Linked DNA regions of Danio rerio. The protein of the gene in region 1 interacts with the protein of each later gene in a biochemical or structural test. Links are inferred from orthologs where the notes say so. Each region holds a gene or a part of one and is shown in the gene's direction. Other genes may lie near its edges.

Evidence for each region. The genes of interacting proteins can lie anywhere in the genome.
Region 2: the proteins of ptenb (region 1) and rpl23 form a complex in vitro, tested with the Homo sapiens proteins (2 studies listed by BioGRID). The link is inferred for Danio rerio from reciprocal best matches to the Homo sapiens genes PTEN and RPL23.
Region 3: the proteins of ptenb (region 1) and csnk2a2b form a complex in vitro, tested with the Homo sapiens proteins (2 studies listed by BioGRID, with this or other methods). The link is inferred for Danio rerio from reciprocal best matches to the Homo sapiens genes PTEN and CSNK2A2.
Region 4: the proteins of ptenb (region 1) and Na(+)/H(+) exchange regulatory cofactor NHE-RF2 form a complex in vitro, tested with the Homo sapiens proteins (2 studies listed by BioGRID and IntAct, with this or other methods). The link is inferred for Danio rerio from reciprocal best matches to the Homo sapiens genes PTEN and NHERF2.

The regions. Positions count from the first base shown.
Region 1 is NC_133187.1:19,018,049-19,022,971, reverse strand, and holds the start of ptenb (phosphatidylinositol 3,4,5-trisphosphate 3-phosphatase and dual-specificity protein phosphatase PTEN), read left to right. Parts: upstream 1-1,839; 5' UTR 1,840-2,462; coding exon 2,463-2,541; exon of another isoform or gene 2,542-2,609; intron 2,610-3,054; exon of another isoform or gene 3,055-3,354; intron 3,355-4,923. UniProt on the Homo sapiens protein: Dual-specificity protein phosphatase, dephosphorylating tyrosine-, serine- and threonine-phosphorylated proteins.
Region 2 is NC_133178.1:32,233,304-32,237,558, reverse strand, and holds the start of rpl23 (large ribosomal subunit protein uL14), read left to right. Parts: upstream 1-1,455; 5' UTR 1,456-1,471; coding exon 1,472-1,484; intron 1,485-2,475; coding exon 2,476-2,559; intron 2,560-3,424; coding exon 3,425-3,553; intron 3,554-4,255.
Region 3 is NC_133200.1:14,587,696-14,591,628, reverse strand, and holds the start of csnk2a2b (casein kinase II subunit alpha'), read left to right. Parts: upstream 1-1,133; 5' UTR 1,134-1,982; coding exon 1,983-2,086; intron 2,087-3,933.
Region 4 is NC_133178.1:11,799,130-11,803,215, forward strand, and holds the start of Na(+)/H(+) exchange regulatory cofactor NHE-RF2, read left to right. Parts: upstream 1-1,286; 5' UTR 1,287-1,607; coding exon 1,608-1,814; intron 1,815-4,086.

The DNA.
Region 1 (4,923 bases):
TGACATTCACACAATTTGGACTTGACTTGTTATACTTGTTCTGAAGTGTTTTGCATAGTCCCTTATAACATAAACCTCAAAATATATTTTACAATAACATTGCTTTTACCATTGACTAGACCATGACAGATCTGTGCTTTACAAGCATCTTTTTCTACCTCAAAATCTGCTGACACTGAACTGTATGTCTTTAAAACATACAAGTTCATAACATTATTATGAATACAAAATTCATTGCATCAATTCGTATGTTTGTTGCACTTTTTAAGAGAGGACAAAACTTAAATATAATCTATACAATATTATGTAGCTAATGTGAAATTTATCATGGATAAAATACAAAAATGATAACAAAATAATAAAACTTGTTTATCTACTGCTAGTACCTACTACATTCAGTTGACACAGTGGATGCAGTTTACATTGTGACTGAACTTCTAGTTGACATTACTTTTAACGAGATATCAAAGTTATAAACACATTTTTTATTTATTTATTAAAAACAAGAAAGTTGATGCATTTAGATCTCCAAAGTAGGACCTGCTGTGCTGGCTAATGTTGGCCCATGGTAACCTTTGATTTGTCTCGCCAACCCATTTGAGAAGAAAGGGAGAATTGAGGAGGGTTCTGAGATTGTCATTTAAAATTAAATGTAACCCTTTGTTTGTTTGTTTATTTGTTTTATTGTTAAAGCCTAACTGAAATTGAATGTTTCAATTAAATGGTGTAAATTACTCAGATTTTGTTTAAATGTGCATACTGTCACCCGGCAATGCAGAGATTTTGGTGAGCAAATCAAATCAAAGGCAAATTGTGCTTGACTTCTGTATTCATATTCATTTAAGTTTTATTGCAATAATGTTTTCTTTTAAAAATGTATACTGCATTAGTTAATACAATTTAATGTAACATTTATTTTGTACACAAAGTAACAATTATTTGGAAATATTATGAAACAAATCACTCATGGCAACTTTAATGTAATGTAGTTTGGTATATTTACCATCGGCCACGGCTCTCAGTGATGTTTGGTTTTAGGCCCTTCTTACGAAAATGTTTAGGCACCACTGGTCTTGTAGCATACGAGCTTTATTCTAGAATATTCTGACAGATGGCGCTCTACAATAAGGATTTGCTGTCTGAAACGCAGCTAGAACTTTCCACCTCCGTTTCGTCCTTGGGGCAAAATCCACATCTGAGCAAACGTAACAGAACACGCCTATAACACAAATACATAATTAAATACAATTAGCATCACAGGTGGGCGCAATTAATTTCTATAATTTAATGTACAGGTATCTGGTAATATGATTGTGCCTCTGTGCAGTAACTTACTTTTCTGCTGGCGTAAGCATTTCAGTAATTTCCTGCAGGGTAGTCGAGGCACTGGTGAGAGGGGTACATAACTTACGTGCATTCTGATATTTTCTCCGTGTTCAGAAGTGGGACTAAAATAAACGTAGGTTGTACCTTTCAGTTATTGTGTGGCAAGCCAATTAGAGTTTGTTTCATAAAAGGAAACGACAATGTTGGAGCGGAACACCTACATAACTGACTTGAAATCTGATATAAAATATTGGAACTTGGCTCATTTCTGTAGACACGTGACCGTGGAACAAAACGTAGTCCGACTGTGTATTAGTGCGCTCGCAGTAACCCTAACATTAGATAGTTGATATATTACTTAATTTAACGCCATGTCAGCTCAACAAGAATGCTTTAAAATAAGTATATTTATATACTAGGATGCAAAAACATATTTGTTGTTGACATAAAATGAAATAGCCGTAGAACTATTTGCCAATGCGGATGAATATGTCGTCCGAACGTCATCTTTTTTCAATGGGAAGCCATGATGGAAGTTTGAGAGTGTAACAGGCAGTGGAGCAGTGGAGGATAAGGACAGAACCGGAGGTGTCTCTTACGCCACATTTAAATATCGAGTTTTTCATTTCTTGGTGGAGGCTGTCACATTTTGTTTCATGTGTTGGAACCTGGTCATCGCGGATTGTCGTAGAGTTTAATGGCTTTTATTTTCTAAGGATGTGTAGACGGGCTAGCGCGTTAGCCGTTGAGGCTAGACGGAGCGCGAGCTGAGTGCGAGCGGGGCTCTGACGACCGATCTTCAAGTGGAAGCACCGGAGAGGATTTTCTCTCCGCCTTTCCGCTCAATCACGGCGGCTTCGGTGCGACCAGAGACTTGTCGTGCACTAGAGATTCTGCAGTTCCAGACGTGGGAAGTTGCTTATCTTTTCACCCAGGGCTCGTCTGAGCCGAGGAGGGCATTTTGGAAGCCGGGCCTGTGGTGGTTTGGAGCGAGGCCCTTGATGAGTGAGCCACAGCAGACTCCATTCTAGCTAGCTGGGGGACTGCGAAACGAGCAGAGCATAAAGACGACCGACCGTCCGAAAGCAACAATACTCTCTCTCACACTAAAAACCCTAAAGACTCCTGTCACAGCCATGGCTGCGATCATAAAGGAATTTGTCAGTAGAAATAAAAGGAGATACCAAGAAGACGGGTTCGACTTGGACTTGACATGTATCCTCTTTGATCAATCAAATGTCCCTGTTCTGTCTATTGTGTTGAAACCAGTGTCGGCAATGAAGGTAACGGCTTGCATCTTGTTCCAAATCAAGAAATCTCTGACGTCCCGTCCGAATATAAAAAGCTATGAGCATTTATTTACATTTTTTGCTTTTCCCTTTTTATAGGAACTATTGACTGAGTCCCCGATTGTACATGATGTGATCTAGATCAGTTGGTTTCTGTTCCTGCATCAGCTCAACGCCGTTTAGATTAATGTCAGTTGTTAATTTATCCACGTTATCGAGCCGTCGTTTCATTTATACGGTTATTTTAGGCTTGTCTGCAAGTTACATGTGACGACTACAATATAAGCAACTCCAGTGAGGTCATAAAATGTCATTTTCCTCATTTTACGTAATCTGATCTATCGATTGACCGCTAATCTGCAATCTAACTCCCAAAATGTTTACATTTCAGATCAAGACAGTTTGGGGGTTAATAACAAAAGACGCGTCGCAGGTTTATATAATGCGATGGATTAGATGAAATGCACAAGCAGTGTCACACAAAGAGCATTGCATCAGCTGCTCGCAGAAAATAGATGCTTGCGCTCAACTTGTAGTTTTGATTGACCAAAAAAAAAAAAAAAAACAAGTCCGTTCACACGCAGGCGAACAAAAGGAAATGCTTTAGTATGTGAAATATGCCTTTTTGTAATCGCAGGAAGGGATTCGTGCAGTGCAGCGCTTTATATTAGAAGCGTCATTGACGTTTGTTCCCCCGTTTGTGCAATATGTCAACGTCATTTGACAATTTCAAGCACAGGTATTGTATGCATATACGTTATTTGGCTTGTGATCGTTGCTTTCAGGCAGTAGCTTTATATCCTGGTTGATGAAGTGTTAAAGCACGAGAGGTCTGGTTTTATTTCAGCAGGTTTCAGTGTTATTGAAGATCCTTTTGATGGAGCTTTACCGCCAAGTCTGATGTTTATCTACAGTCCATTGTCCTTTTATATAACTCTTAGCTGTTCTGTAATATAAACTCGCATATAAGATTAATTTATATATAAGAATAATATTTATATATAAGACATTAACAAAGACTAGAAGGATAGATAGAGGGCAGGATCAATACATTCAAGATGAGCAATAAATTCACTTTTCAATAGCATTAAGAGTATGCCATGCCTTTGCATGTTTTGATAATCGTTCAATTTTTAGCATATGCATACATTGAACAAGGTCTAGTGTATTACATGAGCCATCCTGTAAATGAATTGATCGCATGGACATTGATTTGCCCCAGCCTGCTCAGATGGTGTGTGGGTCACTATATTGACCCATTGCATTGCATCATGCAATGCACTTATTGCGTTTAAAACACACTGTCAGGAATAAATTTTAAGAATGACTTCATTCTTTCAGTCCACTTTTGCTATAATGATAAAGCAATGCTATCTATGGCAAAGATCAGTGAGAATACACACTTTTAACTTTACAATTCTTATCACACATCAGAAAGATCGTTAACTAGACATACACATTTAATCTGTCTAAGATCAGTGAGAATATATACTTTTCACTTTACAATTCTTATCATAGATCAGGAACGAATGCAAACTAGACATACACTATCTTTTTTTTACTTTAAAATATGTAAAGTTAGTCTAGATTACACTAAAATCAGTATAGAGAGTTTCAAGATGAAGAAAACTGGCCTTACTAACACTAGACCGCTATTGTTCTTGCATGTACACAGCGCTGAACCAAAAAGGTTTAAATTCAGCATTCTGTTTGATCCCTTTATATCAATAATTGGTTAATTTAGAGTTGTTTTTATTTTAAATTTAAAGAATGTTTGAGCTTTTATGCTAATATACTTTATAGTGTGCCATGAATTAATTGCAATCTTAAATTTCCCATTGATTCCTGTAAGACTTTAACATCTCATTAAAGATAGCTGAGGTTGTGTAGGTAGTAAGTTGGCAGCTCAACAATATAACATGCAGAACTTTGTATTATGTTAGTGATGTAAAGTGAATGGCTCTCCAACTTTGAGTCTCACACTTTTTTGTTTATAACCATATCTGTTGTGGCTAGTGTAGGGTACAATGGTTGCTTCATTCAGTGCAGTTTTCTTTTTTTTTCAGTGTTATGTGTGGAATGTATGTTAAGAGATACAGACTCTTTCATTTGTTGGCAAGAAAGTTATTCTGATTTAAAGTTTGATAGTATTGTGCATATCTTTGAAAGCTAGATAACTTGGGAATGTGTGTTTTGATATTTGGTCTAGCAATTTATATAGGAACGTTTTTGCGTGTTTGATAAGGCGCTTGAATTTACTAAAGTTCTTTGCGTTTCAGACTTTTTGAATCAAATAATCCTTTTGGCC
Region 2 (4,255 bases), on another chromosome or scaffold:
CATCACAACTTGTCTAGTCTGAGAGATCCATAAATTAACAGCAAATTTTCATTTTGGGGTGAATGATTCATTTCTTTAATAGTTTCAGTGTATATTCTAACACATTGTACAACATACATTACATGTCATACATTTATAGCAAAGTTATAATAGTTCTCTACAAAAATGTAATTGGTCATATAGACAGTAACTTTAGCATGCACTGAGAAATGGCCATTTTTAAAGGGCTGGTAAACTGAAAATGTATCATGTATTAAAATCAACTCAGGTTTAAGCATGTTTTCCCTTTCTCATTATTCTAACATTATTATATTCTGTGAAAACAACTGGAGGCATGTACATTGTCCAGCCTATACAGCTGAATGCCACAAAAGTAAACAATTAGATACATAATATTGATCTGAGCTGTAAAATTTTACTGGTTATTTAACTAATTGTAAAGTTCACTAAAAGTTTACTCTTTTTTTTTTTCAACAAACAGCTCTTAAGATTTAGTCACCAAAAGGTGCCAAGCAGTCAATAACAGTAAACACACACACACACACACACACACACACACACACACACACACACACATACATACAGTACATTCAACACGCACATATATACATTTATACATTTTCAGTGGTTGTTGTCTGGGAATAACATACGTTGGAATGTCATGATTGGCATTTAATATATATATATATATATATATATATATATATATATATATATATATATATATATATATATATATATATATATATATATATATATATATATATATTTATTTATTTATTTTTTAAATACAATACATACCACACTATGGAATATGAAAAATAATTTTATTGATTACTGATCAATATGTATTCCTTTATTTGGATTCACAGGTGTCAAACAGTTTCTGGAGGGCTGCTATGTAGTCAATATATATGCAATAATTGAATTTTTCCCTTTGCAGTTAACAAACCAAATTTTTATTTCTCAAAAATGTACTTTCCCTTTGCACTTTATATATATATATATATATATATATATATATATATATATATATATATATATATATATATATATATATATATATATATATATATATATATATATATATATATATGGCCCTATATTGACTCCATAGCTGCAGATTTGCACAGTTCAACTTTAACCCTAATTAAACACACCTGATCAAACTAATTAAGTCCTTCAGACTTGCTTTAAACCCCCAGGTAAGTGTACCAAACAAAGCAGGGTTGGATCTAGACTGCGCAGAGCTGCAGTCCTCCAGGAACTGAGTTTGGCACTTTTAGAAAATTCTAGTTTTGTAATATTACCATGAGATGCTGAAGTGAATCAAGTCATACATACGACACACTAGATGGCGATGCTTTAGTTATGACGATGACGTGACGCCGGAAGCTGTGAAGTCTGTGGTGCGCGCACGCTTATATCCCATCATTCCTTTCTGTCTCTTCCTCTTTCCCTTTCAGCGACTATGTCTAAGAGAGGTAAGAAACACACATGAAAATCCGCAATCATCCTTAAAATGAGGAGCATTTAAGCCCCCTAAAGTAAAGCACAGGTTTATATGATCATGGAGGATGTGTATTTCACCCATATTGATGTCAATTCTGAATTTTAACTTGGATTAAAACAGAAATGTACACTTTCCGCTAGCAAGAGAAGCCATGTTTGCTAAGTACGCAGAGTGAAGCTCGTGGAGCCAGTGGTGGGATGTTGGAACTCTTCATATTTGAACCGTTTTGTTCGTAAGCAAGTTTTGGAGTAGAGCTTTATGATAGCAGCCATTTAAAATCAGTGAAGAGCAGCATTTGTGAGTAGTTAATTCTACAATATGCGGTGAAACCGGTAGACGCTCGTCTGAATGGTGGAAAGTGTAGTCGCACGATTGTATGTCAGGCTAACGTGTAAACGTGCACTATTAAACCAGTGCACAACGGGCTTCCACACCAGAAATTCTCCTTGAAATGTTGTCATCGTAAATATTGCGTTTGTGTTGTGTGGAGTCAAGCTTGTCCGGCAGCAAACGTCTGTTCACTTGCAACTGTATCGACAGGTACACACTTAAAGGTGTAAGTTAGGGAAATAATTCCGTACCAGACATTATTCTGCACAAGTTCAAAGCTTGTGTCATTTAATTTATCAAGTTGACAAGTCTAGGCAGAATAAGTTGTCTTCATTCGTTTTCATTTAACTTTTAATGCATCTATAGTTACTGGTGTTGACAGTTTCAATTGTTTTTTTTTTTTTTCAATGTTTTATTTCATAATTGGAAGTGAATGAATGAATTGTTGCTACTTTGGCAAGTTTTTGTTGTAGATATGCAAAATCAAAACATCAAGTGTTTTGATAGATTTATGGAGTCAGGTTAATTTAGCCAGTGTGCTATTCATGTATTATCTAAAATTTAAACCTAGTCTGTATTTTGGTGGTTTTGCTGTTTTTGTGAATTTTATTAATTTTGGTCCTCCTGTTTAGGACGTGGTGGGTCATCGGGAGCCAAGTTCCGCATCTCACTGGGTCTCCCAGTGGGAGCGGTCATCAACTGCGCTGACAACACAGGTAAGAAACTTGCCTTCGTTGATGAGACCAACTGAAATAATTTATTCCAGATTTTCATTTTTCTAAGTATTGCTTGGTTTATATTTCTTCTTAAACTCATATTTTTAATGGTTTGAAATTGTTAGAAACCAAGGCATGAACATTTCATAACTTAACTTGGACAGTTCAAACCACAGTGACGGATGTTTGAGACCTAAACAAACATGGATGGTCACCATGTCACAGCATGTCACTTTTCAGACATTACCTGATTAAACAGGAACCAAATTCAGAACGTTCTTGCAGAAGTCATTGGTCAACTAAAATGGTCTGTTGTAGTCTGAATTGGCCTTCAAGTTCTTATTAAAAAATTGTTGAAACTTCAGCTTAAAAAATCCTTTAAGTTAATTGAAGTACATTTAGTCCAACAGTAACATTTGTATTGCTTTGACTATTTTAATTTAAACTTTAATTTTTACAAGAGCTGGTGTGAATGCTTGTCTTGTGTATAGTTTCTAGCATAACATTGAAGTGCTGTTGAAGCAGCAGTTCGGAAGATTACTTAAGGCCAATTACTTTAAGTTTTGCAGTTCAATCTGGTTTCAGTCTGTAAATTATTTGAGCTTCTTGTCCTTCTTAAAAGCACTTGCTTCGTCTGCTCAGTGGCTGGGTGAGTTGTCGTGGAAGGAAAAAGTGAACCCCATTACTCTTGGGTGAGATGGCAGTCTCCACATGCTGTTTAATCTCAATCCGTGATGGAACAAATCTTTGCTTTTTCTTATTTCCAATCAGCTGAGGGTCAGCAGACATGCTGAACTTAGCTCAACGGCATTGAATATGCCAATTACAAGTTCATTTACTCAACTCTGCCTTTTCTCTCACTTAGGTGCCAAGAACCTGTACATCATTTCCGTCAAAGGCATCAAGGGTCGTCTGAACAGGCTGCCTTCCGCCGGTGTGGGTGACATGGTTATGGCCACAGTGAAGAAAGGCAAGCCAGAGCTCAGGAAAAAGGGTGAGTGCTTTCACAATTGGGCTTTATTATAGATGTTAAGTGAAAGGCTAGCATTAGACAGTCATACACCACACGAGAAGTGTTGTGCAGTGAATGTGAAGTTAAGACAAGTTCAAAATTTAATAAACTGGTAAAGGTTTGACTACGTAAATGACAAAAGGGAAGCTCAATCTTTTTAAGTTGCACTTTACAGTATGTTTTACTGGAGTTCTTTCATAAGAACATACTTTATTATTTGAGGTAACTATGGGAGGTAAGGTTAGATTCATGGGTAGGTTTAAGGATAATACCTAGTTATTACTCAGTTGTAATGACTATGATAAATCTATAGCCTATGCAGTGCACCGCATAATTGCGTACAACATTTTGACAATTAATATTTTTATTTGTATCACCAGAATATAACTATTTTTGTGCATTTTGAACCGGTTTTATCAATCCATTATGTCCATTAAAGGGCTTGGTCACAAACATCTTTAGAACTATACAGAATGCATCTAAATTTAAGTTATTACAATTTATTACAAAGTACAGTTTGAATTAAATTCAGGAGAAAACAAAAAAAATTTATTTAATTTTACCAACGTTTATTGATAACTTTTTTTTTATATATATATATATATATATATATATATATATATATATATATATATATATATATATATATATATATATATATATAAATAAATAATTTTTTAGTTA
Region 3 (3,933 bases), on another chromosome or scaffold:
TGTGGTCAAGAAAAAGAAACTATTATAGATCTTTTTTATCATTGTATTTACTCAAGAATATTTCAGAAATATTTGGAATTGTTTTTTAACAAAACAATGAAGCATAAGATAGAAATTTGTTTATTCGATGGGCTGTTTTATTCTGATAACGAGAACTTGAACTGTAAAGGACAACATATTTTTAATTTGTTTATGTTAGGAAAATACCAAATACATAAGAAAAAGTGGGCTCAGTGTAAACCAAACTTTTCCCATTTTCTGAATGACTTCAAATTATATATAAATCTTTAATTACAATCACAAAACAAAAAGCACTGAAAACATGTAATGCTCTGAAAACATTTTTCATGTAAATGTGTTTTTATTTATTTATTTTCGATATTTTTCTCTTTCAGAAAGCTATGTGAAATGTATATCTTGTTCTTGTGGCATTAATAAAACCAAAGAAAAAGAAGAATTTGGCCATTTGAATGACATAAAAATAAAACACAATATACTACTACTAATAATAATAATGTAGAGCTTCACGATTTTTGTAGTCTCTCTGGTAAAAAAGTAGGCCTACATTTGGAAAACCATGGACAACAACAAAAGCAAAATTGGTATTCAAATTATTAGGCTGCTGGTGCTTCACACCTTTTTATCGAATCGATCACTTTTTGTTTCAAAAATAAAAGTCACTTGTGCAATGTTTTCTTTATTTAAAAACAGTACAGTAGCAAAAAGATGACTTCACTTCATCAGAGTGTATTGTTTCTCGCACAGCTGGAGTTTTAGTGTTGGCTAAAACTGATTAGCTGAAGTCACAACAACCTTTTTCAATGCATGGGTTATTTTCACAATGTATGATGGCGTAGCATTCAAAATAGTACACATGAGCTCGTATGATCCAAATTCTGGATGCGGTTTGCCAGAATATACCCTGACCATCCTGACCGTCTTTCGAACCACCCGAGCCCTCCCCCTGGCCTGGCTACGGGACTGTTGTTCATGCGTCAGTCTGTTGTGCAAACGGAAGTGTTTCACATATGGGCGCATAGCAACGGACAGACGTGCCCACTGGCCATAGCAACTTGTACTTCCGGATTTTCGATGCTAATTGATAAAGCTACCATGAGCTTCCGGGTCAAACCGTAGCTGTCCGTTTTTTCCTGCAGCAGCACGGGGGGGATTGGTCCGGAAAACCCGAACCCCGCTAACAAGCACAGCACTGCACGGGATTATAAACGTTTTTCGCGATTCCTGCATAACGGCTACGCACGCGACGTCACTGTGACACGGTTTTTAGCGGAGATCAGTTAAACATCGATCTCGAGTCCACCGCCTCCCGTTCTCTCTCTCTCCGTCTCTCTCTCTCTCTCTCTCTAACCAGTCAATATCCAGCTTAGGCACTGGTTAGTTAAATTCTACTCACTCACCGTGGACTATATTTTGCAACGCCACTTACTCCAGACTGAGAGGAATCACATCCTGGCGCTTTTTGTTTTTCTTCTCGGTTCTCTATGCTTTGGATTTAGGGATTTGGGGCCCCTTTGGGGTGGTGGGGGGGTTTAACCCACAATAATTAGATTTAAACAAACCCCCCCGCCTACTATCTATTTTTAAACTTTTCACAAAACTTCAACACATTCAGATCGGAAATAGACGTCGCATTCGCACTGCCGGAGCATTTCACAGACTATCCACCATTCATTTTCAACCCTCTCGGAGCTCCAGGCGGTCAGAGCGCCGCTGACAAGCCGGGGAACGAGCGCTGCTCAGCGGCCAACGCGCTTTATCTTTTCCGCCGCTGCTATCAGATATCGCACGCCTCAATCGGATACAATCACATCTCCTGGCTGGTCTGCCTATAATCGCTGATCTTTCGTTTGTGTGTGTGTGAGTTTGTGTGTTTGCGCGTTTATCTCTTATTTTATTTTATTTTTGCGTGTTTTGGTTTGGATTTGGAGATTTCTCGTACACCCTGAGCCCCGTCACGCGCCATGCCCGGCCCGGTGGCCGGTAGTAAGTCTCGGGTGTATGCCGATGTCAACACTTTGAAGAGCAGGGAATACTGGGACTATGAGGCCCACGTGCCCACCTGGAGGTGAGAGATTAAGCTATAAAAAGCCCGAGTGCATCATCATCCAATGTTGTGTGTCTCAAAACCAGCTGCCTATATCCGTGCGCGTTTTGCGTGTGTCTGCTGCTTTCCTTTGCGCAGTGGTTCACATTGTAGGTTCGCTATCGATCGTGCTGGGAAAGTCATCAATCTGCGATCGAGCAGCCCCTGTTTGAGCTGCTGCTGATGATGATGATGAGAGGATGACATGAACGGATTTACAGATGCAGCGTTAGAGAGAGCTGTGTGTGTGTGTGTCCTCTTCAGCAACCACAGATTTTATGCAAATGCACTCATTCCCTCAAGTGTGCAATGCACATCTAGTAATTACCATTCTAAACCAGTGCACTAATAGAACATTTAGTGGTTTTAATGGTTGGATTCCTCTGAAGGAGTTAATGTGTTTCTGTTTTGCACGGTGCACATATATAATTACAAGCTTGATGAATGCGCTGTCATTATTTATTAGGGTTTTTTTTTTGTGTTTTTTCCCCCGTAGAATATGGAATTATAATACTTTAGCATTTTTCATGTAATTCTACATTTAAGGAACTCATCATGGTATAGTTCACCCAAAATGAGCATTCTGTCACCATTTACTCACGCTTGTTCTTAACATTTATGAGTTTCTCCTGTTGAACACAAGATAACATGTTTTGAAAGAACTCAAAAACTGGCAATATTCATAGTAGGAACTAAAGTACTATAGAAGTCGTAAATTCTTCAAAATATCTTCATTTGTGTCTGTCTGTCTATCATCTGTCGTTCTATCTTTCTGTCATTCTATCTACCGTTCTATATGTTGTTCTTTCTATCTATCTGTCTGTCTTTCTGTCGTTCTATCTTTGGTTCTAGCCATCTAATTTTCTATCTAGCCATATTGATTTATCTATCGTGCAATCTGTCTATCATTATGCCTATCATACTACCTGTCTAATGTTCTATCTATCTATCTATCTATCTATCTATCTATCTATCTATCTATCTATCTATCTATCTATCTATCTATCTATCTATCTATCTATCTATCTATCTATCTATATGTCTGTCTGTCTGTCTGTCTGTCTGTCTGTCTGTCTCTCTGCCTGCCTGCCTGCCTGCCTGCCTGCCTGTCTGTCGTTCTATCTATGGTTCTAGCCATCTAATTTTGTCTATCTAGCCATGTTGATTTATATATTTTGCAATCTGTCTATCATTTTATCTTTCTGTCATCATACTATCTATCTATCTATCTATCTATCTATCTATCTATCTATCTATCTATCTATCTATCTATCTATCTATCTATCTATCTATCTATCTATCTATCTATCTATCTATCTATCTATCTATCTATCTATCTATCTATCTATCTATCTGTCTGTCTGTCCTGCCTGCCTGCCTGCCTGCCTGCCTGCCTGCCTGCCTGCCGTCTATCCATCTATCTATCGTTCTATCTATATCTGTCTGTCTGTCCATTTGTCTATTGCATAATCATAGTATCTCTATCTATCTATCTATCTATCTATCTATCTATCTATCTATCTATCTATCTATCTATCTATCTATCTATCTATCTATCTATCTATCTATCCATCCATCCATCCATCCATCCATCCATCCATCCATCCATCCATCCATCCATCCATCCATCCATCCATCCATCCATCCATCCATCCATCCATCCATCCATCCATCCATCCATCCATCCATCCATCCATCCATCCATCCATCCATCCATCCATCCATCCATCCATCCATCCATCCATAGCATTTTTCATATAGGTCTTCATTCATGGAACTGATCATGTTGACTAACATAACACTTTAATGGTTATTTTAGTTGTGATTCA
Region 4 (4,086 bases), on another chromosome or scaffold:
CAAACAATTAAGACTTTCTCCAGAAGAAAAAATATTAGCAGACATGCTGTGGAAATTTCCTTGCTCTGTTAAACATCATCTGGCAAATATTTAAAAATCAAAGGGGGTTTATAATTCTGACTTCAACTGAATATATACACCCAACTAAATGTTATCTTTTCCATTCTGGTATTACTATTGCTACTATTACTACTACTATACTTTTATAATTATGGCTGTGTAAATAACCTACAGTTTTCAAAAATATTAAAATAGAAAAATACAAAACTATTAAAAGAATACAGCTGTTCTGTGTCAGTTAAATCAGTTGACTGTTGAAATTAAAAATTTTAACCCAACTGGTTGAGTTATTAATGTAGATAACCAAATAAAAATATATATCCAAATAAAATAAATAACCAAATAAAGGTTAAACATGACCAAACAAAGGACCAAATATTTAACACAACTGGTTAAGTTATTATATATATATATATATATATATATATATATATATATATATATATATATATATATATATATATATATATATATATATACGTGTGTGTGTGTGTGTAATATCTACATTTACATAAATATTTACAGTTGAAGTCAGAATTATTAGCCCCCCTTTGAATTTTTCTTTTTTTTTTGTTGTCTTTTTAAAATATTTCCCAAATGATGTTTAAGAGAGCGAGGAAATTTTCACAGTATGTCAGATAATATTTTTTCTTCTGGAGAAAGTCTTGTTTGTTTTATGTCGGCCAGAATAAAAGCAGTTTTTAATTTTTTTAAAACCATTTGAAGGTCAAAATTATTAGCCCCTTTAAGCTATATTTTTTCTCGATAGTCTACAGAACAAACCACTGTTATACAATGACTTGCCTAATTACCCCAACTTAATTAGTTAAGCCTTTAAATGTCACTAAGCTGTATAGAAGTGTCTTGAAAAATATCCAGTCAAATATTTTTTACTGTCATCATGGCAAAGATTGGGGGATAGGGCTAATAATTCTGTTTATATGCATGGGTACTGCATGTATGTGCATATATATTTTTTCCCATTTAGTTTTTACCAGTTGTTCATAAAAATTATGTAAAAAAATAAACATACATGATTCCTTAATCAATAACTGCTATTTGACATTGTTTACATACATTAATGAGGGTCAAATAAGCCTCTTTCTCTGCTCATCTGTATTGTCGCTTATTTATGGGCGGTCTTTTTTCACGCCACGCAGTTTCTCAGTGGACAGCATTTCTCTCTCTCTCTCTCTCTCTCTCTCTCTCTCTCTCTCTCTGTGGGCAGAATGTCTCATGGAGGAGTTTTGGATGCGTCTGTGAACATCCACAGGTAGTTGCACAGTCTGCTTTTAGCGCTATCACTTTTGCATGTAATTCCTCGCGAGCGCTTTTGGACACGAGAGTCTTCTGCCTTCATATCTGTTTTAATTGTTGCATGCGCGTTATTGTAAACACATCGGCATACGGCAGCGATGCGCGTTTATAAACCTTTGCGAATGCATTTTACGTAAGTTTCCGCTTTATTTATTTATTTTTCTTTGCTTGGGAAATCGCGCATGGATTGTGTTGCAAGTTTGTGAATGTGAAGGCAACGGCGGAATACAATGGCAAGCGATTTGAAGCCTCGCTTGTGCGTAATGAAGAAAGGAGAGAACGGCTATGGGTTTCATCTGCACGGAGAGAAAGGAAAAACCGGACAGTACATACGGAAAGTGGAACGCGCGTCCCCGGCGGAGGCGTCGGGACTGCGCGCGGGTGACCGTGTGGTGGAGGTGAACGGCGAGAACGTGGAGAGAGAGACACACCATCAGGTACATCAACACACACACACACACACACACCTGAGCTGCTGGTCTCAAATATTCAGCACACATTATACTGGATCCTAATGCAGGATCGTATTATTATGCATTTTATTGCTTATAACAACAACATGTGTGTTAAAACAAGTGCTTGAAGATAATTAGATTAGGATGTATCTCCATATGGAAGCAGAAAGAGCTTTATTGCCACTGCCAGGTAAGATTTTACATACAAGGAGTTTGCTTTTGTGACAGAAGAGTGTATCAAAATGGCAGTGACAGGACAAAAACACTGATAATAAAGGAATTAAATAAGTAAATAGAGAAAACAAATGCATATTACATTAGGCAATAATGTGTGTAAAGCTATATTATGTGCAAATTGACATGTAAACTGAGTATGTTGTTAAATAAATGTGTACATATGTCGGTAAATAGTTTTGTTCCATTCTACAGGGTGTCCGTGGGGGTCTTAAAATGTCTCAAAATCCAAACTTTTAGGCCCTAAATTCACTGAAACATTGTATTGTAAGTCCTAAATCATGTTAAACAGGTCTTAATTTTCCTGTATTCATGTAAACCTGCCCAATCAGACCAACATCCTTCAATCCTTCCATCTCAATAAAAGTTTTAACAAAAGTTTATTTAAAAGGCACCTATTTTACCCCTTTTTCAAGATTTAAGAGAAGTCTTTTGTGTCTCCAGAGTCTGTCTGTAACGTTTCAGCTCAAAACACTTCTGATTATTTATGAGACCTTTCAGACTATTGGGACTGTCCGCTCTGAACACTATGTAGTAGGGTTGGGCCGATAGATGATGCCGTTGTCCATCGCTGATGGCCAATAGACAACACGATTGCCCTCGTCGCAAATCCGCTCGCGATAAACACACACTTAGGCCCTGTTTACATTAATACGTCTTAGTGTTAAAATGGCATTTTAGAACGAAAATGATCCACATCCACACCGTGTTTTACCCAGCATTTCTGAACAGCCCTCCGTCCGCTGAAAACACACACAGACAGCCACACACACACACACACTATCATGCGCTCGTTTGAGCTTCAGTGAGCAGAGCATGTCAGACAGTTTATGAAGGATGTACCGCTGGATTGCGTCTCACTGTAGTTGTTAAACGTGATATTTAGACATCCCAAGTCTCCCGGAAGTTCCGGGAGTCTCCCACAACTGCTTTGAGACTCTCGGATCCCTCCTCGCTCTTCACACACATCGCGCACACTCTGTCAAACTCCGTCTCTGTCCCCAAACCCCAACCCCCCGCTTTTCACAAACATATATAACCGGACAACCCTACCCCCCCGATGATGCCATTACGATGGCAAATTGTCAGTGTCCTCATCTCTGGCTTTGTCAGATAAACAGCACAGTTACAGATATGAAGGAAGCAGACCTCACGTAAGGTTTGTGAGAAACACTACAGTAAGAACTTTCCCAATGATTATTGGATGTATTTGTTGTGGAGTTAATTCAAGCCTTTCTGCAACAACGAGTCACACACAGTGTCCTTACAAAGTTCACACACAGACACACACACACACAGCTCACGCGTTTAACTTTGCTCTGTTTTTGCACGCAAATGTGACAGGGTACATGCTAATATCCACTGCTGTATAGCTGATATCCGTTATGTTAATGTACAAAATAAAGCTTATTTAACGTCCACAAACCGGGATTGAAGCGCCTTCTTTTACAATTGTACTGATATGCGGCTGCGGTGATGAATTAATGCGATTTTACCATCTTTAACCTACTTTATTACAAACATGCACTGTTTTAAAAACGTTTTAAACTTGTAAAACTTATTCTTTATCATATTTGATGATGACTGATGATCACAGAGAGCTGAACAGATCTTTTAATCCCAGTTGCTTTGCGCACGTCCTGTCTTGTTGATATGATTAAACGCATTACTATGGATGTTAATTCACGGCTGTCAGTCAATTCTGTGGACGGGGAAACCTCACTCCTATGTCACGTTGTGGTCGGCCTCAAAATGGAGGGGATTTGGATCCTATTTTAACGTCAGGAAATTAAAAAAATAGAGGCTTATTGTCTTTATATCACCCCAATATGACTGTGAACACACTATACCTACACACAGTTCTGTCCAAAAGATGATTTTCATCATAGGTGCCCTTTAATAACTCTTGTTTATTAATTATGTTTACTGAATCTATATTTATAAACACATGGTTTAATTATCTTTCTTACAATAACATTTGTTTTTATGTTTTTTTTTTATGTTTTAACTGGGTTATAGA